Drosophila melanogaster: one gene and its partners. The protein of the gene in region 2 interacts with the protein of the main gene of each other region in a pairwise test. Each region holds a gene or a part of one and is shown on either strand. Other genes may lie near its edges.

What was found. Proteins that work in one complex are often made in the same cells at the same time.
Region 1: the proteins of CG14118 (region 2) and pod1 interact in a two-hybrid assay, tested with the Drosophila melanogaster proteins (one large-scale study listed by BioGRID).
Region 3: the proteins of CG14118 (region 2) and CG6845 interact in a two-hybrid assay, tested with the Drosophila melanogaster proteins (one large-scale study listed by BioGRID).

The regions. Positions count from the first base shown.
Region 1 is NC_004354.4:6,799,530-6,807,777, reverse strand, and holds the start of pod1 (pod1 coronin), read right to left. Parts: upstream 4,095-8,248; 5' UTR 4,012-4,094; intron 3,683-4,011; exon of another isoform or gene 3,601-3,682; intron 2,794-3,600; exon of another isoform or gene 2,772-2,793; intron 2,651-2,771; exon of another isoform or gene 2,529-2,650; intron 2,394-2,528; exon of another isoform or gene 2,303-2,393; intron 2,101-2,302; 5' UTR 1,869-2,100; coding exon 1,560-1,868; intron 1,161-1,559; coding exon 974-1,160; intron 898-973; coding exon 341-897; intron 283-340; coding exon 130-282; intron 1-129.
Region 2 is NT_037436.4:12,889,681-12,897,249, reverse strand, and holds CG14118 (uncharacterized protein), read right to left. Parts: upstream 4,593-7,569; 5' UTR 4,538-4,592; coding exon 4,390-4,537; intron 3,926-4,389; coding exon 2,754-3,925; 3' UTR 2,492-2,753; downstream 1-2,491. Other genes in the region: CG43894 (uncharacterized protein), read right to left, coding at 6,193-6,710, 6,779-6,907, 6,966-7,026.
Region 3 is NT_037436.4:142,368-150,650, reverse strand, and holds CG6845 (uncharacterized protein), read right to left. Parts: upstream 4,219-8,283; 5' UTR 4,148-4,218; coding exon 3,945-4,147; intron 3,880-3,944; coding exon 3,569-3,879; exon of another isoform or gene 3,514-3,568; coding exon 3,253-3,513; intron 3,199-3,252; coding exon 2,985-3,198; exon of another isoform or gene 2,922-2,984; coding exon 2,768-2,921; intron 2,716-2,767; coding exon 2,238-2,715; intron 2,190-2,237; coding exon 2,006-2,189; intron 1,948-2,005; coding exon 1,810-1,947; intron 1,757-1,809; coding exon 1,681-1,756; 3' UTR 1,595-1,680; downstream 1-1,594. Other genes in the region: Dic61B (dynein intermediate chain at 61B), read left to right, coding at 1-302, 355-567, 633-843; Pdk1 (Phosphoinositide-dependent kinase 1), read right to left, coding at 6,831-7,136, 7,434-7,708, 7,772-8,283.

The DNA.
Region 1 (8,248 bases), on a different chromosome or scaffold from region 2:
GTTTAAACGAAACGCCCCGGAAATGCTAACCATCGAACCCTAACTACATTAACCCATGAAGCCCTTGTCTTCCGGTTTTCAATCTTAGGATCTATAAATCGAAATATGAAAGTATAGAAGGTTACTTACAATAATTGGCTCATCGCCATGCTCACGCTTGGCGGGATCAAGGCTCATCTTGGGCACCGCCTGGTTGCTGCCATTTAGCCACTCGCCGGCCACCAGTTCTGTCTTGTAGCCAGTGGTCTCCGGATATAGATCGGCGTGGAAATCACGGTATGTCTATGAAATTTTCTTATAAGTACTTTGAGCATAAATTTGATAGTAGTTTATTACTCACCTTTCTGGGCACCTGGTACATGATGGGTATGACCATGTTGGAGGTCAATTGCAACACCCGGTTAACCTCTGCTTCCATGACTTTAAGTGCCCGCTTGGGCACGAGACAAGCTCCCTTCGTCTGCTCGCCAGTATGACGCAAGCCCTCAATCAAATACGGATCCTTGTCCGTAATCTCCAAATAGTTAATGGTTGTGTCACCCTTTCCGGCTAGGAAAAGCATATTGGTGTCGGGATCGAAGAGGGGCATCAATATGCCCGTCGAGCAGTCCAGTTCGAGAGTTTTCTCTGGAGTGTTGAAGTTGCGCACATCACGGATGATCACCTGTCGCAGGCGGGCCGCATCGAAGCCAGTGGTCAGGATGCGATGCTGATTGCCTAACCACACCACCCGCGAATCCTTGATGCTCTGATGCGATTCAGCAGTCAGCTGGATGGGTGAACCAGCGGCACGGGGATCGAAGATTCGCACATTCTTATCCTTGCAACTGGTGGCCAAAACAGAACCGTCCTCGCGCCAACTGGCCGACTGTATCACCTCGGGGTGCTCATTGTTCGCTGTAGAGAGAAAAAACATATTTAGTTAGGGTTTTATTTAAAAAAAAAAAAAAAAAAAAAGAATGTGTTTACTCACAGAATATCTCCTTTTGAGTGCTGAGATCGAAGAGAGCCACGCAGCCGGCGGCTGTGGAGTACATCAAACCATCTGCTGTTGGATGGAAGCCCACTGTCTCTACGCGTCTCTGCTTGTGTGAGAAGATTGCCTCCGGATCGGAAAGCGACTGCTCCAGACCTTTTTCCGGTATGTGCCAGATCTTGACCTGTGGATTGCAATGGTAGTGATTGATTAGCAGGGGGACTTTGTGTCATGTTGACTATCTAATTTGTGACTAATGTGATAGCGTTGCGATGAAATTATGGTTTCTGGTGAGTTATTAATATTAATAATAGCATATTATTGATTGTTCGTTCTTATCACACTCATAAACTCATTATAACATGCAACTATTTTATCTGTAGCTTCTGGTAAATAAACATTTAATGTTTGAGAAACGGAAAATACATTTTTATTAAATTAATAATATTGCAAAAATAAAACAAGAAAAAAAATATATTCTGAGTAACTCTATGGACATATCATTGGAAAGTAATGACCTAACACATAATATATTTTTGAAACATTTAGGGGTACTCCCAAATAATATTAAAGGATCTCTTACCAGGCAATCCTGCGAGGCGGTGGCCAGCAGCCCGTCGTGGAACGGGGAGAACTTAAGGTCCGTCACTGTGTCCGTGTGTCCATGGAGCAGCGGCATGGTCTTGCTCTTCCGGCCGCAGTCGTCCAGCGGGAGGACAGCGACGCTGGACCCGGTGTGCTCCCAGTTGAAGGCCATGAAGGCGCCGGAGGCGGCGATGTTGTTACCGTACGTCTGGTAGCTGCCCACGCAGATCTCGCGGACGCATGCCTCCGCCTTGGGCACAATGGGTGCGGCATTTTTGTACTTGGAAGCCTTGAATCGCCAGGCCATGGTTGGCTACTTGGTTGAGCTGGGAGGGCTTCGATCCGATGTGATGGCGATCCGATGCGGATGTGGATATGGATATGGACGTTCTCTGCTCGAGTGTAGAGAGTCGATTGTGGATTGTATATGCCCGATGCTTGATGCCTGATGGTCGAGTGTCACTAGTCCGGTGGCTCCCTCTCAGTCGCTCTCTTGCGCTTCGCTCTCCGCTCCGCTGCTCCGTTTCAGAGTTTCGTTTCTGGAAAATGGCAAAATAGCCGCATAAGTACGAGTATGATATCACTTGGGTGCGCGGGGGACATTCCACAGTTTGTTATCGTCTTGCCCGCCGCTCCTGACTCATCGTCATCCAAATCCGATAGGGCAAACAATAGCCGATAACCGAATATAAATAATAATACATTTAGCAAGTATGGATGGGGAAAAAAAGAGAGATGCACTTGCTATTGCGGCGATACGTCTATTGAAAAGAGAAAGCTGGACAAGAATGGTGTCCACCAAAGCCGGATGAGCCAGCCAGCCAACCCGACCAACACTCGCGCATTTGGCGTACGTGTTTGTTTGAGTATGTATGCGAATGTTTGTTTGTACATCATCAGGAAAGGCGAGGAAAAACACTGGGCAAAATATGATGAGTTCCGGCCGGTGGGGGTTAATTTGGCACACCTAAGGGTTAGTGATCCTCTTTTCAGCGTTATTTCTTCACTTTCTGTCAAGCTAAACATATATTTACTTAAATTTGCACTAATTTCTAATGTGTAATTTGCAAATATGAAGTACGTGTATGAACAACTGCTGAAAATGGCAACACAAACAGTATGATCCGAGCGGCGGTAAGGGTTAATATGCCACACCTAAGGGTTAACGATCCTTTTGATAAATTTCATGGAGAGTTTCACACACACATACCCTTGTACAAACACAACCAACTGGCTTGCAGTTTATGGATAAGCACAGTGAGCACTCTGTAAACTAAACATCACAGTGCAATGGCATCAATGAGCCTTTGGATCAAACAAATAAAATATTAGTTTGCGCAAAAATATATATTTTTCTACGTCTTTAGTTAGTTATTACTTTATTTTTATACTCTACTCTCTGGAGGCCGCACTGTGTAGTCTCCCGAGTGCAGTAAGCAAACGTCGAGAGAGCGAGAGCGGGAGGGAGAGAGCATGCGCCAATTCAACTGTTTCTGTTTGTTAGAAAGCGGCAAAACAAATGACCACTGGGGGTAAAAGGAGGTGCGGCTGGGGGACGGCCAAGCAGGTATTGGCCAGCGGAGCCACCAGGTAATGGGGTCAAGTGATTTAGAAAAGCAAAATCAAAGGCAATATAACGAGGTGATGTTGCAAAGTGAGAGCGAGACGGGCACAGGTGCAACCTGCAGGAGAGCTCAGCGGCTAACGGTTAACGGATGACAGCGGGCGGCGTGGGAGAGCACGAGCATCTGCATCCCTATCTCTCTCTTTCGCTTGGTTGGGGGTGGCTAGAAACAAGCCGGCTAGCATTTTTGTTGTTTTCACCCACTGCCCACTAAACACACACACACACATTTGCACTTCTGGTGGTTGGTTTTTGGTCACTTTGTTGTTCTTGTTGTTGCTGCTTATATGCATTTATTGACATTTTCACAAGTTTTCCATCCTATATTTTGCATACATTGCATTTGATTATTGGTTGTTACTTTCTAGTTTGCGTGCCATTCAATGAAAAGAGGGGTGAATTTATTTTTATATACTTCTTTTTTCGCTTTTCCTTCGTTTCCTTTTCCTTATTTTTTGCAGCACACACCCTGGCGCCGGCAGAAGAAGAAGAGGAAGAATCCAAAGCGGCGGCAATGACAATGACAACTACAAATGCAACAACAAAGGGTGCGCGCGGGGGTGGAGTGGGGAGCAGTAGCCGGAGAGGGGGTGGTGCAACTACACCAACAAAAACTGCGCAAAGGCGACGCCGCTTCTTTTTTTATGGGCAAACAAAGGAGCAGTTTTGCACACACACACACTCAGACGCACACTTGAGTTGCAGTGCTGCAACTGCACACCCACGCAAACATACACACGGGAGGAAAAACACGGCGATTAGGCTCACACACACGCGCCGGTGATTATTCTCCCGCTTGTAATTACAAATATTGCAATTAAATTACCAATGCAATCAATAAACTACGCGAGAGATCTTCAACTTTTTTTCAAACGTTTTGTCATCGTCTATCGATAGTTTCCATCTCCGCGTGCTAGAGGTGGCACCCATACATCGCCACAGCGCTATCGACAGAGCTATCGATTGCGATCTAATCGTCACTTTCTTCGTCACTATTTTCACATTGTTTGGGAAGCATTTTAGCAGCACTGCGCGACGGTCACCGCATTTTGTTGTTGTGTTGCGCGTTTAAAATTGTATTGTTATTTTTTATATTTTCTTTTTTTTGGACCGAATGAGAGCCGGCCAAAAGTGCAGTGCGAGTGCGATTGAATTTAAGTGAATACAAAGTGCGGATCGCAACACAACTTTATAAATATATGTACATATATGTGTAGTTAGAGCGAGACGGGGCGAAATATCAAATAAAAATACTGTACTGTGTGTGTGAGCAAATACTAATACTACTCAAGCGGAGAACGATGAAAATGTGCGTGTGAGAGGAAAAGAGAATTTAGTGTTTTTTATATTATTTACTGGCCTGCGGCTATGAGCAAAAAGAACCGAATATCATTGCGGAAAAAGGAGAATGAAAATTGCCAAGAGGGAAATCTGTGAATCCTGGCGGAAACACACGGCCTCATCATGAATATACTGCAGAAAATCGGTCAGTATTTCGCTCTTAAGCGCTCTCTTCGTTTTTTTTTTGGCGACTCCTTGGCTTTTCCTTCCAATTTCCACACAGTTTACCGTTTGCATTCGCCTCCATCGTTTACACACATTCCTCCGCCTCCGCCTCCGTCTCTGCCCTTCACCATCCTCTTGATCCTATTGCCACTATCCCTGTACTGCTCACAAAACCCGCGCCCCTTTATCCAGCAACGCCCCCGCCTTTCATTGTTGTTGTTCGTGTTGTTGCTGCTGCTGCTGCTCGTTTTGGGAGCTGTCAACAAGTCTATTTTTAGACTTTTAGATGCTGCAGTTGCATTTGCCTCTCTTCCAGAAGTGTTAAACATTGAAAGAACAACTCCAGAAGCGAACGCAAACATTTTCGTTTTCCTTTCCATTTCCTCTTCCTATTTTCATTTCGTCCCTCGCACCTCCGCTGCGCTCCCACACACACGAACACACACTCTCGTCTTTTTTTTCCTCTAAAATTCTTCCTAAATTTATATGGTTTGAAACCTGGATAAAAAGGCTGTCATCCTAATTGGAATTTATCCTCTTGTCGTCTTTACTCCATTTGTATAAACCATAGAATTTCACTCTGCATCCCATATGGAAGGAAGCTCCTTGAATATTTCCCGGAACTCTCCGATTGCATTTGACCTTTGTTTATCTGTAGAATTTTGTTTAATTAAATCATTCCGAAAATCCTTATTGACTAGAGTTTTTGAGGCACATCACTCATATACATATGTACATATATATATTTAAATCGCATTAAACATTTCTCGGAAATCCTGAACCGAATTTGGCCTCTGCAAACGTTATCCCTAACATTTTCCGCACAATTTGTGGGGCTTAGCAGAAAAGTAGGCAAGGATTTTACACAACGTTTTACTAGATTAAAAAAATCGAAATATTTTTCTTTTAACTAATAATATCCTACGCTTTAAAACCATATTAGTAAGTAAGTTCATATCCCCTCTCGATGAAAGGAAATTGGGCAAATGTGCGGTTTCCATGGAAATACGCTCTGCTGACTATATTTATGCACTTTCTGCCCACATATGAGAAGCACTAATTTTTGATTTAACTCTAATCACACACACACACATTACTTAATACCTGCGAATGGTTGTTTTCGTGTGGTATTTGGTATTTGATTTACCATTTTCTGTCTATTATTATCCTGTTGATTCCGACTAAACGCCAAGGATTTTGATTACCTGGAAAATGCACTTGCTCTAGGAACAAGAGTTTAGAACGCTGCGAAAGTGGGTGGTTAGAGGAATTGTGTGAAAATGCATATTAATCCTTTGCCCCGCTGACCCCATTGTCCACCCTCGTTTTAATTAATTCCGTGAAAACACAATTCCTGCTGCCTGGTGTCCATTTATAATTGCACTTTTGTTTGACCCAGCATTATCCTGTTGATTCCGGTTCTGGTTCCATGCAACGACGCCAGCTTTTAGCTTATAATTAATGAGCAGAGCTCCGATTTCAAGGGAAATGCATTGAAACTTGTTGCTGCCCCAAGAATTTGCCATTGAAGGATTTTCCATTCGCCTTCAATTGAATTTCGCCAGCCAGTTAAGCTGCCTTAAGACTTCTAAGCAAGTATCTCAAACATCTACACAATTTTCTATCTAGCTTCGCATTTAATTTGTACTTTCTGTGTGGATTTCATTGTTTTGGCACCACTTTTGTCGCCCACTTTGCATGACCACTAACCAACTTGAATTTTTGGCTGGAAAACATTAAATTTTAGACAACGTCTGTCATTCTTTCATGTGCTCAGCTCATTCGGTGTTTACCTTTTTTTAGCGAGTGCAAATTTAAAGAGTCGCCAGCTGACTTGAATGTTTCCATTAGCCTGATAAGAGTCACTCACGCTGATAACAGTCACAAGCTGTCACACTCGCGTACATCTGAATAGCAGCAGTCGACAGTTTACTGAACTCGCAACGAATAGTGCAGGTTATCATAACTAAAAAAAAAAAAGAAGTCACAATGTATTGTTATAGTAGTGGCTTTACTAAGTTAGGCGCATGCTATAATATATAATATATAGTACTATATAGTTGTGCAAGTTCACAAAGGCAGCAGGTGGGGCGGGGAAAGTAGCTAGACTGTCAGATCTGTCGCTCTGCTAAGCGCTCTGCCCAGTGGCCCCGCGATTAGATTGTAAAAGTTGTGCGCTCGCAGCTCATCGCTTTACCCCGCGTACCGCTCACCGCTCACCGCTCACCTCTCGCCGCTTACCGCTCGCTGGTGCGGTATAGTATTGTATTGTATGGTATGGTATGGTAGGTTGACTCGGTTTCGTTGGTTAGTTGGATTGCTTTGAGTTGGGTTGCTTCGAATTGGGTGGCTCGGCTCAGCTCAGCTCGGCCGGTCAGTCGCACGCGAAATTTTCACAACAACGGTGTTGTTTGCCATCCGTCTCCGTTTACCGCACGGCAACACATCGCACAAATCGAGCCAAGTTGAATATAAATGCTCAAGTTGAGAATAAATACGCGTTGTTGAATAGCTCGTGATTTGCAGGCAGTGTGTGTGATATCATATAGAGGGGCGATCCCCGAAATCATTTTCCTATTTAAGTTCTATTTTCGTTTGTGTTCGATTTTTTTTTTTTGTTTTCGGGTACCAGTGATCGGGGATCGAAGAGCAATCGATGCGGGGCACAAATTGAGTTGGAGTCGTTGATGCGTTTGCTCCAATTCCCGCGCCCCAAACAAATCAGCTAAACAATAGCAAAAGGCCGTCGTTTGTTTTTTTTTGTTTATATATACGTAGTGGTTATATAGTGTGTATATATATATATATTCCCATCGATTTCCGCCCATCGACATAATGCGCGTTCTCAACACGGAGCTGCGCCTGCGCTTCAAAAATCGCAAACCGCGACCCTTTAATCGCGCTGCCAGTGCCGATGATGCGATGGATTTGGGATCGGGAGTGGGAGTGGGCACTGGCATCGCGAATGGAGCCGGTATCGGTGTGGGGGCCACGATAATGCCCCTCGATCAGCGACTGAATGGAGCCACCAGTATGAGTACGTATCGTATGAAACATATGCCGTGTAATTAGGATTAATGTGACAAGATCATAGTTTAGGCCACCAAGGAAAATAGCACAATATATTCACAACTTATGACTTGTAAATTCAGTCGACTTTGTCTGGCAAACAATTGTACTGCCACCCAGAGCAGCTTAATTATGTTTGCAGATAGTAAAGTTAAACAAGGTGTTAACTAATAACTCGCAAATATTGCAGAACTGTTGTGGCACGTTATCTGGCTTTACAAGTGGTTGGACAACTAGATAGGTGTCATCAACACATAACCAATTTAAAAACTGGGATTTCACTCTAAGCAACTTAATTTATCATTGCTCTTATCGATGTGATAGCTCTGACGGCAAATATAAAAACTAAACATATTTAGATATATAGATAACTTGTGATGATTATTTTTCCATGTGCAATTTCCCCGCTGACGAAAGGCAACAAACAAAACAATTGCTAGTTTTCATTTTTTTTTTTTCACTTCCCGCTGGCCAGTAGTTTTCAGTTC
Region 2 (7,569 bases):
TTTCATTTGAATTGTGTGCACGTATTTTATTCACTTCAGCTTGTTGTTTCGCTTTTTATGCCAGGACAGAATGGAAACTGGTCAAAGTCAACGAAATTGTTGCTCAAATTGAGGATATCCAAATCCAATTTAAGAACGGTCTGCAAATAAAGATGGACTTTAAGGAATGCAAGAAGCTTTATATCAAATATATATGCAATAAATCAGAAAGAATTCAACACCATTTATTTATTTTTGAATTAATCTGACATCTGACGTTGCCGCCCATCATCGCATTTCGATTAAAGAAACGCCGATTCCAAACAAGAGCGGTCAAAGGATCTTCAATTTTCAATACAAATGAAATCGTTTACAGCATCCTGTAGATCCTGTATGTCCTGTGTCCCCATTCCCAATCCCATTGGTTCTTACGCACATGTAAATAAACCCGAACATTGTTTATTTTTATATGCCCCTTCATGCATAGCGAAGGATTTGCTGTAAGTTCGGGTAAGGTCGTCGTAGCTCAATCTATATGTTTACATAAATATATAGGGTGCGTATGTATATAGTTTATCGCCAGGACGGAAGGAAGCAGGACCCACAGCGGGAAATAAATTCAGGCGGTAGCAGGAAATTATTTATATTATATTTTTTATGTATTCTGCACTGTTTTTTTTTATATATATCATTTTATTTGATACATTTCAGTTGGTTTTATAGTACGTTTTCTTTTTTTGTTTGTTTGCCAAATATTTAATATGCATTTTAATCAAAATAAAAAACAAGGCCCACTGGAGCTGGCCTCCAAACAAGAGGTGGCGATATTAAAATACACACAGAGGCCGAGCGAAAACCCAAATATAAATTATAATTTCCGCTGGCGGCCGCACAACACAACATATCCTTCTGCCAGCAATGACATAAAAAAGAATCCCGACAACATCTGCGCGAAGTGCGTTCAATTATTTGACTTTTTTTCGGTTGGTCGGTGGTATCCTTGCTGCTGCTCCTTTTGGCCACTGACCTCACAATTTCCATGGAGCAGATAAACTTTCATCAAGTCTGCGAAAGAAACAAGACAAACAACAACGAAGCAATTTGTTGTATTCCTTGTTTTTGTAACCAATTTTAAGGAAAAATGTTATGGCCACTAAGGAAAGTCGTCTGGACTTCGGACCTTGTACTGCACTCCATTTCATGTCCTTAAGCGGTATACGATTGCTACAAGTGCCTTTCAGCTAGGCAAACAGAACAAAAAAAAAAAAACATTTAATTTCCAGGGAATGTGAGGCAAGTTGAAAGTTATATTGTTTCTTGTCGGAAGAATTCATTTGCATAGAAATCAGTTTTTAATTGGTTACCTTTTTACGTATTTCGTTGATTTATTTTTTCAATTTATGTTCCATCAACTGATTATTAAAACTTTTGTTGCATAAGTTTTCCAAACTCGTGTTATGTCAAAGAAGCTTGTTTGATGATTTGTTTTAATTATATTCGACTTTTTAAATAATTACATTTCTAGCTTAACTATCTAACAAACCAACTTGTGCTATACTCTTAGTCATATTAAATTATTTAATAAATGAAATAAAATCTATACGATATAGTTTTTTTATTAACCCTTCATTAGTTTTTCCGCCTCGTTTTCTTGAAACACGAACCACAAATTTCCCAACTCTTTGTGCCCCATTTGATGATTACTGTCCAACAGTCTGTGAGGGATACTTGAGCAAATATTGCTTACCGCACAAGGAAGCATAAAAACATAATTTCGGCTTGCCCCATTTCGAATACACCGGCACCGACCTAAGCGAGCGGAAAACGGAAAATCGGAAAAACGGAAAGGCGGCAAGGAGCTGGGGTGTGGAAAAGTGGAAAGTGCGCTTCAAATCAGCAAATGGAAATGTATCGAAAGCACTGAATAGAGGGGGCAAATATTCATGATAATGCCAAGGACATAGCTCCACGACGGGAAATGCCATGAAAAAGCCAGCGGAAAATTTAAGAAAATTCTTCACGACAGCCATTTTATGTGCGTTGCGTTGTTTGTATTTCCCGTGTATGTGTGTGTGTGTGTGTGTGTGTGTGTGTGTGTGCGTGGCGCAGAAGAAAAAGGATTAAATCAATGTTGTGGAACAAATTGTGTTTTGTGAACGGCATGAAGGTAATGCAGCCGAGCCGTATTTGATATCCCCATTTCTTCCAGCGATTTTGCGCCCTCGCCAACAAGGCAATCGCATAACGAGTGTATAGCATTTCCCGATTCGAGGCACCAACGTGGGCGTGGCCCCGCCCCCGACATGACCACACACGATGTCCCATTTGATTTTGATGGCGTGAAGCCCACACGAGCGTTAATAATCTGAGCACACACACGAAACTGGCACAGATGGTTGGCAAAAGAATGGGCACAGATGGTTGGCAAAAGAATGGGCAAGGACGACTCCTTCATGGAAATTAACTTGTTAGGTTGACAAAATCTGCAGACCTTTTCTTTAAAGATTTATTTAAATTCCAAGATTTATGATGTTTATGTTTTTTTTTTTGTACCAGATAATCATGAATTATTCTTAATAGCTCAAAGGAAATATATGTATATATATTTATACAGTAATGCATTTCTGCAAAATTGTTTTCAAGGGTTTGCACATTCGTTGCAGTGTTGTGACGTGATTTTCACTAATACCAAACTGCAGTTGTGTCACACAACTCACTCAGTCTTTATTGCACTCACTTAAAAGTACGGGCAATCGAACCGCCACCGCCCACATCTAAGTGAGCAGCTCATCCACTTCGAGAAGTGGGCGTGGCAAATGTCCGACAGCCCGGGCCAAATTCGCCACCGAACAGGCATACAGATAGCCATTCTTCAGGTTACCCTTGGCGTTGCTTTTGTGCAGCCAGCTAAGCCACTGCACCGACTCCTCCACTGGATCGCAGATGATATAGGACTCGTGGATCTGGGCCAGGGTGGCATGTGGGTTATTCACACCCACCAAAGCGATTCCGCGGGTCGGATGGCCCTCGTCGATGAGGACGCGATAGAAGAGCTGGGGCACGGCCACCACACCTATGTTATTGGCATTGGTGGTCATGTGGAGGACTTTGCTGCCAGCCACCTTCATTTCGCCATAGATGCCCGTATACACAGTGGCCGTGATGCCCGAACGGGCCACATATTGTCGGGTGGATTCCTCCAGCTTGGACCACTGACCACCATTGAAGCTCTGCCATTGCGGCGCCACGTTCATGTAGTTGAAGCTGCTCTTCTGTTGGCTAGCATAGATTAGATCCGCTTTGGCCGTCAAATGTCCGCGGGCCAGGAACAGACCACTCTTCACGTCAATGAGGCCGGGCACCATCAGTTTCTCCTGGCTCTTGGGCGAATAAATTCTGGCCATGTCAAAGCCCGTGAAATGGCCGGCGGTGCTAAACCTCGGGCGTTTCAATTTTTTCTGGAAGTGCACATTCGCCGGTGTCAGTTGATGGTGGGCGTAGTGGGTGCGCAGTTGATTTGGGTCGTGGCACAGCTCCATGGTGGCCACAAATCTGCCATCTCCGGTGTCATAGCCCACGCGATACAAGTACGAGGTGGATGGACTCGGAGTGTCGCTGCCACAACTCCTGTCCAATCGCTCCACGGTGTAGGGCATGGAGTGATTGCAGACAAAGTCGCTGAAATGGATTTTAGCCCCCATCCACTCGAAGGTGGTGTCCTGCACGCACTTCACCCGAATGGAACGCAGCTTCGCATCCAAAGACTCTCCATTCGCGGGCGCGAACGAATGGCTGCAGTGCAGCTCGATGCTGGCGCCGCGTTGAACCTCCAGGTGCCCATAAGCATTGGGCAGCCAGTAGAGATCTGTTCCTGGGCGCAGGTACAGCGGCTGCACTTTATCCAAACGGGGCAGATCATTTTGCACATCCACTCTGCAGGGAGAACCTAAAATGGGAAGTTAGGTGTGTTAAAAGATGTGGCTAAAAATTCTTGGCATAATTTTAGGCGATGACATAAAGATTAAATATTTTACAACACAATAATATTATTATATATACGAACAATATATATATAACAATTGTAATATAATAATTTTATATTCATATATATATTTTTAAATATTTAAGTCTTTCTTATTTTGAATTTTAACCAATTTTAAGACTAATTTATTTTCCAGCCCTTTGGTGCTATGTATTTTACTTTGTTGAAGCAGGTGACTTTTATGTGTAAATAAGGTTATTGTTTCTACAATATAGTTTTTTTTAAGAAAAACAAACATCAGACCTTTTTGCATTCCAAAATGTACATATATTTCATTCCGAATGTGACCACTACAGTCAAACTACTCAAACAAAGCTCAGTCTGCTTTGGATAAACGTATGGTTATTAACTTTTAGGCGACCACATACCTTGATGAAACATTTCTCCATCGATGTGCAGTCCATCGAGATCTTTGATTATCTGACCCACATCTGGAATGGTTGCGATCGCCTCACGTGCCCGAATCTCTCGCAGAATCACGACCGCCAAAATTAGGCCGATAAACTGAAGCATCATTTTGTTGGAAACTCAACTCGACCGGTTAAGTTGCTATCTAACCGCCGACTGAATTATTTGTTTGGTGAACAGGTGTTTTTATTTATATTCTCAGTTCGTGCTCTTGTATCTTACATCTCTCTCTCTCTCTCGCTCTCTCTTTCGTTTTGCTTCTTTGTCTTGTAATCTCTCTGAGAATAAAGATATAATACCATTGGATTGTTTGCATTTTTTGAGTACTTCCGAGTTCTTTCTATCTATATACCTTTATACATATGTATGTGTATTTAGGTCTAGGTCGCATTAAGTTCTTTGCTTTTGTCGATCCCCTTTCTTTACAGAGCTAAAACAAAAAGTGATTTATCTCGCGAATGATGTATCTCAATAATTTTATTCAAGATTAATCGTCAATTATATTTGACATTTTTCTTATTTAATAATCGAAAATAATCTATTGTTAAATGACCTGGCAAACAATGTATGTACACAATATATTCATACCTGGACAGCTTTCGATTCATTTGTAAATGAATAATGATCATGTAGATTTCGGGGATCATTTAATTGAAATCTAACCATATGAGTTGTAATCGTTGTTATTGTTATTATTGTTGTTGTTATAATTGTTATAGTCGTAGCTGGGTCGTGCAGTAGTGTACGTATTGTAGGGATTGTAATTGTTATACGTGGGATAAGCTCCATTCGATCCATAATATGAATTTGGATTCACGCCCGTACCCGTGCCTGCCCCAATGCCCATTGGCAGGATTATTAAGGGCTCCACAATTATGCTGGTACCACCCATAGTTCCACCTCCCTGGGGCATCATTGGCATCATGGGCATGGCACCTGGCATGTACGGTTGTCCCATATAAGGTTGTCCCATATACGAGGGATAATACGCACGCCCCGGAGATGGTACATTCATTGAAACAGGACCAGGATACGGCAGCGCTCCTGGCATTGGCATTGGTCCTGGCATGGGACGCATTGGAATCTGACGTGCCGATCGATTGTGAAATTGTGGTAGTGTTGCATCAGAATCCATTTCGGAATCCGTCATCGTTTCCCCCAGAGAAGCTGACAAATATATGTATTAGCTATTAATTTTAGGAACGACAAATTTGAAAGTAATGAAATAATGTTCGGAAGGAGTCCATCCGGTGCTGAGTAGCTTTGAATTTTTTTTAACCAGTATCGAAGATCTTAGGAAGATCCACCCGAAAAGGGTAAGTTAATATTGTAATTATAGGTACTATAACTGGGTGGGTACGGATTGTAAAATGATGGAAGTGAGTTCCCAGCGGAACGTCCATTATAGTTCATATACGTTGGATAGGACATCCCTACTGAGAAGTGGAGCCAAGGATTGGCCGAATTGGGTTGTCCTTGCATGGCATATTGCCGGTTGGCCTGGTATTGAATTGCGTACTGTGGGTTGGGCTGAGGTGGAATCACATATTGTGGTGCAACTTGACGCGGCTGCTGCATTTGAAACGGTGGGCGAGGTGGTGGATACCCGGGTGGCATTGAAGCTGGCATCCCCACAGGCTGATAAGGCATTTGTGGCGTTCGCCGGAAACGGTGCAAAACTGGCGAAGATATAGAAACGAAAAAAAAAGGTTGATAATAGATTCTATATTTATTATTTGCACATAACTAAAGCTCCTGGTCTTTTAGCCAGCTAATGTGAGGTAGATTAAATAGTTATTGGTTGATGAGGGATTGGCTGATCTAGACAGGGGGTATCCATATTGACCATATGAACTTGACCGCACACTGGGATAGCAGTTATAGTAGCATGGTGGAGTGGGAGGAACTAATTGTGGCCCATTGGCCGATCGCTGCTGCGTATAAGAAGGCAATCCTGCTCCCGAATTCGGATAACGGGGATAAGTACAGGAATATGGGTAGAGCGGACTGATGGTACAGGGAGGACTTTGTCCTCGATTTAGCCAAGGATTTGGCTGTTGAGGTTGCTGGGAACCATCTTGAACAATAACCAAAACATTAGCCTGCCGTTGGCCTGCATGGGTGGCAAATGTATCGGAGTTACTGAAATCGCTCAGCAGTTTAAAGTCACTGTTCCTATTATTCCGATTGCGACTCGTGGAAGTGCTGGGTATGATGATGCTGTTTCGGGTGTTGGCAGTGGTCTGTGTAGTGTCGATGATGAAATCGCTGGCCAGCTGATCTGAAACGGATCAGTTGAAAAGGACCAGATTTCAGTGTGAACCGATGAAAAAACAAAATTTTACGAACCTGATTGGCACTCCGGATAGGTTCCACATTGTTCTCCTTCTTGCTGATTTGGGTTTTCGCAGGGAACTCTGGATACAATGCATTTTTTACCAGATATACAGGCAATATCCTCACAACTAAGTCCAAATTCTGTATTGATAGTGGGGAATTTTTTAGATTTTATCCCTTATCCTGTTCGCTGACTTACTTCTGTATCCTTGGACAACAATCGTCGTGGCTAATATCAAATATATACCAACAAGTTCCATTTTCTCTTGTAAAATTCCGAAACTAACTAAATTCATTTCCCTAAATCCCTCATATTTATATCATTTTGATATTTCATGGTTGATGAGTTGCGGTAATGATTATTTGCAAAATTAAATCACCGAAATATGATGATTATTGTTCTGACTCTTTCTAACATAAATAAAAGTTCATTAAACAGCGCTAATTGAATATTTTTGTATGGCTGTTTAAATGCAGTACATTAAAACTTACACGATTAATAAGTTACTGCCTAAATATTTCAGCAGTAGGTTAGCCGAATAGAACTATCTATTAAACGGTCTCTGAACTACGCCTTGAACAGGGGTAAATAAACATTGCTTAACAAAATAACACACACTTTCAGCCTTGATAGATATTACTGATTAATTAAAACGAAGTTTAACCGCATTGTTGAATCCGCAACAATTCTAAGTGAATGATTACTCGACCAATATAAATCAATTTTGGTTTCTATCTGCTTCATTTACGGTTTTTGCCTTTTGTTTACCCCCTAAAAAGTCCATTATAATTATTAACCAAGC
Region 3 (8,283 bases), about 13 Mb from region 2:
CTGCTTGGTTTTACCCAAATGATTCTGGAGCGAGTCGAGGGGCATCCTGAGGGCATTTTCGTTCACCCATCGTCGCGTATCCCCTGCGAGTCTAACCGCCACCCGCAAGGCTTAAGCATCACTACACATCCTCTGCACAAGGACATTTACTACGTGCTGACAGATGAGGGCTGCATCCACAAGTGCTCAATCAATTATCAGCATCAGTACTTGGAAGTCCTGCGTTGTCACGACGGGGGTGTCACCGTAATGGAGTTCTCGCCTTGGTCTCCCAAACTCTTCCTCACCTGCGGCAACGATTGGTAGGAAGTGGCCCTCTATCAAGGGTAGCTAAAGATAGTATCTATTCTGCAGGTTCGTACGCATTTGGGTCGATGGCATCACGCGACCTCTTCTCGAACTGCTAGACGAGATGACCCCAGTGCATTGGGCCAAGTGGAGCCCCACCCACTCTACGATTATTGTGACGGTGAACCGGGAAACCGCTAACGTCTGGGACTTTCGCCGAAATTTGCTAAGACCCATGTCCAAGCACAAGATGGACTCTTCTTTTAATACTGTGGCCAGGTAAGCTTTTATTGCTTTCCGCAAAAATGGCCAATTGAATAGGAATTTCCTTTACCAATTCTTAGGTTTTCCCACTGTGGTCGCACATTGGTTATTGGCAACGAGCGCGGGAACACGCTCTTCAACGCCCTGAACGACATGCCCTTTTCGCCACACTTCCAATACGACGAGTTAGAGAAAGCCATTTTCAAGGCAATTGGCAACGACCACGAGCTTCTTATGGAGCTTAAAAGCATTGGTTTCTTTGGGTACCCAAACAAAAAAGCAGTTTTTTAGATAGGAAAAATGGTATTCTCAATAAAACAAAATAATTCGTCGGCCTGAAAGCGAATCTGGATGGCACTGATGAAATGTTCACGCATCAGCTATCTAAGAGACACAACGGCGATCGATCGAGTGTCAAACAAAACTACCCAATAGTAACTTGATATCATCCGAACGGACCGGGCATTACCTTGCACAAGCACAAAAATCCGTTCGAAAAGATGAGCTCCATTGTTTTTCGAGTGTGTGTGGTTGACTGTCAACGATGGTGGTCAAGTGGATAGGGGTCGATATAGGGTCTAGAGGGATCGGTGCAAGTCGACGGGTGTTATATAATAAATGCTCGTATAAGCTTGGTAAATGGAAGCCGCATGTGGGGGAAGAGCAGAATTTATTAAACAGTCGTAAAGAGAAAGTCAACAATAATGAGAAGATGTTCAACAGCACGTTACAGTCATAGCCCAAGAAGAAATAAAAATAGGTATCAAGCAAACAAGCCTTTGATAAAAAAGAAAAAATCGAAAACAGGGGTGAGAACAAGGTTATTTTCTGAATTGCTGTGTAGCCATTTGTCGCTGTAGTATTTAATTAAATAATAATTTCAGCCCAGAAGCTCGCCAAACAACGCAGTCCCCGTATTGCGACTTCCATGGGCGGTGAAGGGTAGGAATTGCACTGACATCAGATCAGCAATAACAAGAGTTATTTTTATTGAATAACTCACCTATAACCATATATTAAATTGTTGGAATATCAGGTATTTAATAGGTGGAAATATTATATTTCTGAGCTATCTGCATAACGTGTATGCGCTCACAACCTCTATGTTTAACTGTTTTTCCCTCGTTGCTAGCGTTGTCCTCCACAGGTCTTCCTGTACTGCCTTTCGCTAAAAGACTCTTTTTCAGAATAGTCCGAAGAGTCGCTGCACAAACAAAACCATTAAGAATAGTCGATTAAACCCTGGTTTTTACTCACTCTACTTCAGTAACGTCGGAAAAATCACCATAATCCACTGGTCGATTGCACAGACAACACTTATTGTGTGACTTTTCAAAGCATTTACCGCAATAAACCCCTTTGCATCCAGGAGTGTCGCAGGGGTTACGATTTGAACTAAAAAGGGGACATCCAACTGTAACCCGGAGTGTGTTTAACGATTGGAGTTACTTACAGAGTCAGAGATCGGCCACATATGGTGCACCTCTCAGTGCTTTGACAGGATGAGCAGCAGGAGCACATGCACATTAAACAGGAGAATCTATTGTTCAGCCAAGTGTAGTTTCTGGTGTGCTTCACATTCCGTGTGTGGTTAAACTCATTACGCTTTCTGCGGCGGATAAACTTAAAAATGCTTGCTGGAGAGAATACATTAGAACAACTTTAAAAGGTATGTACTTTCTTACTTCTATCTTCGGAAATCATGTTGTACAGAAACATGCCTCTTTCCTTGGCGCGTTTTGGATAAAAGTGGGCCATTATAAGATGGCGAGTACGCAAAATATACGGCTCGGCCAAAAGGATCAGCCAAGCGAGCAGACAGAGTAATAATATAATTAGATACTCCGCATAATCAGGTTTCACGGGCAGCGGGAGGCAAGGATTCACGTCTAAAATGCTTTTTTGCGTCAAGGGTCGAAAGGCATTAGCGATTCCCCGCATGACATCCGCCACAAAGCCCCCACCCTTAATCTCTAGATCGACGTAAGCGGGCACCTCCAGCCCAGTCTCTTGGTGGCCATGGAGGGATATAGTTGCCAACAGCCAGAACAGCCCGTAATCCAGAAAGCAAATCGCAAACAACTGCAAGCAGGTTGTGGCCATGAAACAGGCGTTCTCAACAATGGACACGAACTCAAACAAAGTCAAACGCAAGCTAGTAAGCTGCAATGAAATCATTGTAATATTATGTCAGGGAAACGTAGGGAAACCTTACCTTCATATACTTTGCCCTTTCAAGCTGATGAAGGGGTAGCAGTGGATCGTAACCGTGCTTTTCGTGCCGCCGGTCGATATCACTTAGTATCTTTGTCAAGAACACATTCTGAAATTGCCGGCTGTGCATATATCGAAGGTAGAAGATGGTGGCTCTGATGGGAACAATTGAGGCATCACCAACACTAAATTAATAAGATGATTAAGCTCTTGCCTACTTAAAAAATACAGTAACCACCATGACCCAGCAGAGAATGTCCACAAAGCTGCTCAAGAAGATAAACGACGACAGACGCTTGTTAATATCCTGTAAAATTTCCTCCCCCACGTCCGTCAGGCTCTTTGAAGAGTTTGTATCGAAGAAAAATTCGTGCTCAAAAGTGATATTGGCATCAAACATTTCCTCGATGTGCCGCACAAATTCACGGTAGCCTGCGAGATCGTATAACTAATAACCAAAGTACCGATCGTTGTTTACACTCTCACGTTCTGCGATTTTATCAAGAAGACCCCAGCTGAGATCCCAGTAACCGCTGCAAAACACATCGATGATCTTGGCTGGATAGCAGAGGGCCAGAAACAGCTTTGCAGCATGGCATAGCGCCTTGAATACGCCCATCTTTGACTGGCACCTGATCATTGCGTGATGCGCCGTCTTTTTGCAACGTGCCCAGGGAGTGCCCATTTCTGTGTTGCACAGGTCTACGATGGATTTCAGCCAAGCGGCGCAGTTCTTCAGGGTTTTAACTACAAAAATGAATCAGCAGAGAAAACTGCAGCACTTTTTAATACAGATACTCACTAATTGCGATCAATTGGTCCTGAATGCGTAACAGCACTACCATGGCCAGCTTGAGCACCCGACGCACTTCCCGCATCAAGAGATCCACCGCTAGCTGGATGGCATTCACCGGCTCCAGTATTACGTCCAACATCTGGCCAAGCGCCTGACGCAATAGCTCCTGTCCGCAAGCGAGGCTGCGGAGCATCACCTTCAAATTGGCTAGAATGTTCGCCGTAGGCCCAACTGCGGCAATAACAAAGGCAAGGCTGATGAGGAACGCCCTTCCCCGAGAGCTGCACAGCGAGGGAAGGGCCAAAGTCACAATGCACCTGGCAGCCAGTGAGGGAACACTGTTAGACACAAATCGTTTTGGGCTTTTTCAGGTAGTTCTTACCTTACGGGCCTGCTGTAAAAGACCGCCAGAACAAGCGCCACCGGAATCGCGAAGGTGAGATTAAGACCCAGAACCAAGTGGCCCAGCTGCCACCAGTTCCATGCGAGCGTTACCGCGAGGCCGCATAGGTAGCCGCCAATTACGTATGGTGCCACCAGCTTGAATGTCCACATAGCGCCATACCTTGGCTGACTTTCTTCCATGATTTTATTTTGATCGATTTCTTTGTAATTTATTTGTAAAGTCTAACACAACAGTCGGAATCGATATCGATATTTTCTCTTGGCGCCCCACTTAGTGTGACCAATTTAAATGTGAGTTTTCATTGTTATCGGAAATGTGACCCTTCTTAAAATCGAAAAGCCTATTGTTTGTTGTTTTTGGCTTATCCGATTCATTTTTGGCGCCCAAAAAGAATTTAAAACTTAACCGATTGCTTTTTCTGTTTTTCGCTTTTTTGTTCCTTTATTTCAAACAACATCATTTTTTCTCTTTCAAAATAACAGTTATTTTTGATTTATATATCTTATAAAGTTACGTCGTGTGATCTAAGCGAGTTTCGGATTTGAAATGCGTAAAACGCATCGCTGCATTCAAATCCAATATTAATACTATTCAACGAATCTATTTATTATAATATAATGAATAATAAAATAAAAATTATAAAAACATAAACATAAAATAAAATTATATGTAACTAAATAATAAGAAAATAAACAAAAAAATAATTTTTATTAATATTTTTCTCAAAATGATCAAGTTATTTTGGAGCTTCAGGTTTTTATACAATTATGATAAAAATAAATATATTAAATACTCGTACTGAAAGAATTCGCATACACTTGCCCCTGGTAAAATTGGAATACTTATTGATTAAAACATATGATGATTTTAGTATTCCACTAATCGTCCTACAGGTTTACCTATGCACTTTTCGATTTTATGGGTCTTTCCGTTATCTCCTCTTTTTTCTTTTTTCCTGTAGGCTATAAAAGGTAAAAAAGGCTTCTGGATTTGAAGCGCAATGCATTTGCAATTATTTTAATTAGGGCAAGCCCTTTTTGGATTGCAGAAATAGAGCTGTCTTTCTATATCTTAGCCCTGTTCACTGTACTCTTTCTTCGATTTTAGGTACTGCAGCACAAGCGTAGGGTAGAACAAAGTAGTCAGGTCGTTTTATGTGTATCTTACGTAGATTTTGAAACCTATTGAAATGTTGTATCATTTTGCAACGTTGGATACTGGGATACGCGCACTTATTACCCAATCAGTTAGATATTGCCAATTGTAATAACCAAACGAACCAAAATAAAAACAAATTTTATCGTAATTTTGTTACTTTGAAATGTTTTTGTATTTTTCTTTAATTTTTCCTGTTAATGATACGTTCCTTTCGCTCGATTATCTTTTTTTGTTTTACTCGTAATATATTTTTTATTTTTACATGCTTCTCTTTTTTGACATTCTTGTTCTGGTACTCATATATAGATAATATATAATTTGTTTAAATATTTATTTTACAGATTTCTCTCACTATCAGTGGCTCTCCGTTCTATGACATCGTTTAATAAATCGTAATTTTCGTTTAATTTAATTAATTGTATACTTATGTGTGTTGTTGCATATTGCGTTAATTTTAATTTACTTAGGTCGCCAAAAATAATTTACTTAAAAGTAACAAAAAATTAAATTATGTTTAGATGTATATCGACCAACGGCGATATGTATGTACAAAATGTATTTTTTGCTTTCTTTCAACTTCGACTCCTTACTCTACACCTCTGCTCATCACTTAATTACTGTAGCTTAAAGGTAAATATGGGAGGGGATGGGCGCGTTCTAGTAGTAGCAGTGGTAGCAACTTAGACATTTACAACATTTAACTAATTTGTTTCAAGAAACTTTGCAGTCTGTCTTACATCTATTACATATATCTTTGTATAAGACTTGTTTTACACACATTCAATTGGAGTCAGTTGGAGAGACAACGACCGCCAATCTTGACAATCTTTGAACGACTGTTGAGTTTTTAGTGGTAGCCCTTACAAAATAAAAATATAATTTAAAATTCGTTCTTTTATTAGGGTAGCTCAAGTCTTATACATTTCATTATAGGGCAAATAGGTAAACGAAAAGCATAATGAGAATGATAAATAATGATAATTAGCGTTAAACTGTATATTAGAATTACCTAAACAGTTGAGCGTGAAGCTGGAAAAACACCGATTTTGTGACATCGATGGTTTTCCGGCTCATTCCCATCTCCTTCCCCACGACTTAGGGTCTTTTTGCCGTGTGCATATAGCTCACATAGTTCTGTACATAGTTACACTGTTTACAAAATTTATATTAACATATATGTGATCTTCCCACGATAACAGAAACAAAAATTATTTCTCCGACGTACATACACATATTATGTATATTACAGTTTCCAGATAATTTCCTAGTATTATACCATTTAAATACGGATTTTAGTTTGCTTCACGAAATTACTTTTAATTTAAGCCTACAATGCCACCTTGCCTCCGTGTGTAATTCATTTCAATTGCGACTAACTACGCGCTAAATACGAATATATTTGTATTTATGTATGCTGTATATAAATATTTAATTTAAATTTTAAATTGAATTTACTTAGTCGTTATAGATGTATTTTACTTTAGATAAGTTTATTCTAGTGTTATATTTTCGCCCTAAGCACAATACAAATCGGAAAACAGAAATTTGGTTCTAATTAGCACTAGAGACACGATCATTATTTCCCCTTCATCACTTACTTCTACTTCTAAGCTTACTTCTATTCCCGCCCTCTTCTACGCCATCGCTTCGTTTGCACTAAATTTCAACTAAATTAATTTCACATTGCTATAAATAGGACTACGTTTACTTAGACGCCGTCTTCTTGCTAGGTGACGTCCCCGTTCTGGTGCTACCCAATGTCCGGTTGTCAGACGCCGTCGAAGCTTGAGGAGCGTTTACGGGGGAACTGCGTTTCACCGTGGGCGAATTGCTTGAGGAGGCGGCGGATGAATTTGAGATGACAGCCAGGCTATTACTGCTGCCGCTGGAGCAGGACACTGCAGATGTGGAGGAGGGATCTCCGTAGGCCAACTTGCGCATGTTCTCAATAGCTTCCGACCAGTGGATAGCATAGCCTTCGGGATCATCCAGGTAATAGGTTCGATTTGGCTGCAATGAAACCAAAAGAGTAAAATTAGTTGAGCGCAACGCTAATTTTAAACCCATTCACCAAACAAGTTTGAGTTTTTATCTGCCTTGCGTGTGCAGTTTTCAATGCCGCATTTAATTTGCTTTCATAGCCAACACGTGCCCGGGACATAAACTAACGCTCAAATTGCTTTTCAGTAGGCGTGTGACTGGCTACGAACTATAAGCTGTGATGTCATCGGTTCAACAAACTTATGCTTTCTCGGTTTTCCGAGTTGCGCCTCGTGCATCCTTATCCCACCATAGGTAAACACTTACCGTATGGACAAAAAAAATTTTGAAGTTTTTGTACTCCGCTCGGAGATCTGGGCTCCACGGAATTTCTCCTTTTTTGATCATCTGCACGGGATCGATATAGATGAGTCGCGGTCCCGTGGTCAGAAGGAGCATTCGCTTGCGGGCAAACAGACCCTTGCGCTTGTTGACAAACCCCTTCTTGAGGATCACTTCGCCGTCGGCAAAAACGTGCCACTTGTCAGTCTTTTGTTGCTCGAGACGCTGCAGCTTCTCGGCATCGTTCAGGTCGAAAGAGTCTGAAGAAAAACAATACATTCATTAGCCAACGTATTTTTCTGGGGCACCACGTGGACACTTACTCTTTGCGGTCGATCGCTTGACGGGCATGGCCACGCTGCTGCCAACGCCTAATTCTGCACTAAGCAGTCGCGATATCTGCCGTTCGTCAAGGCCAGGCTCCAAATCCCCGGGCACAGTATAGCTGGACCTGAAGTCCTCATCCTGACTTACGCCCGGTAAGTATGGGTAGATGGGGGGAGGGGTTTGTTGACGGAGCGTCTGCCAGTCAATGCCGGCGAAGAATGGGTGCGCCCGAATGGATTCGTAATATCCAAACTCGTCCTGAGCACCCAGGCGGTCTCGCGGATCGACACGGAGCAGCTTGCGCACCAGGTCCTCGGCGTCCTTATCAAAGCCTTGCGGGAAGTCCACGGCGCAGTCAAGAATCTCTTTAAAAATGACATAATCGTTGCTGCCACGGAATGGCGGTAGGCCGGCGATCATCTGATAAACTATACATCCCAGTGCCCACAGGTCCGCCGCCGGGGTTATAGGTCCATTTTGGAGCACTTCCGGTGAAACGTACTGGGCA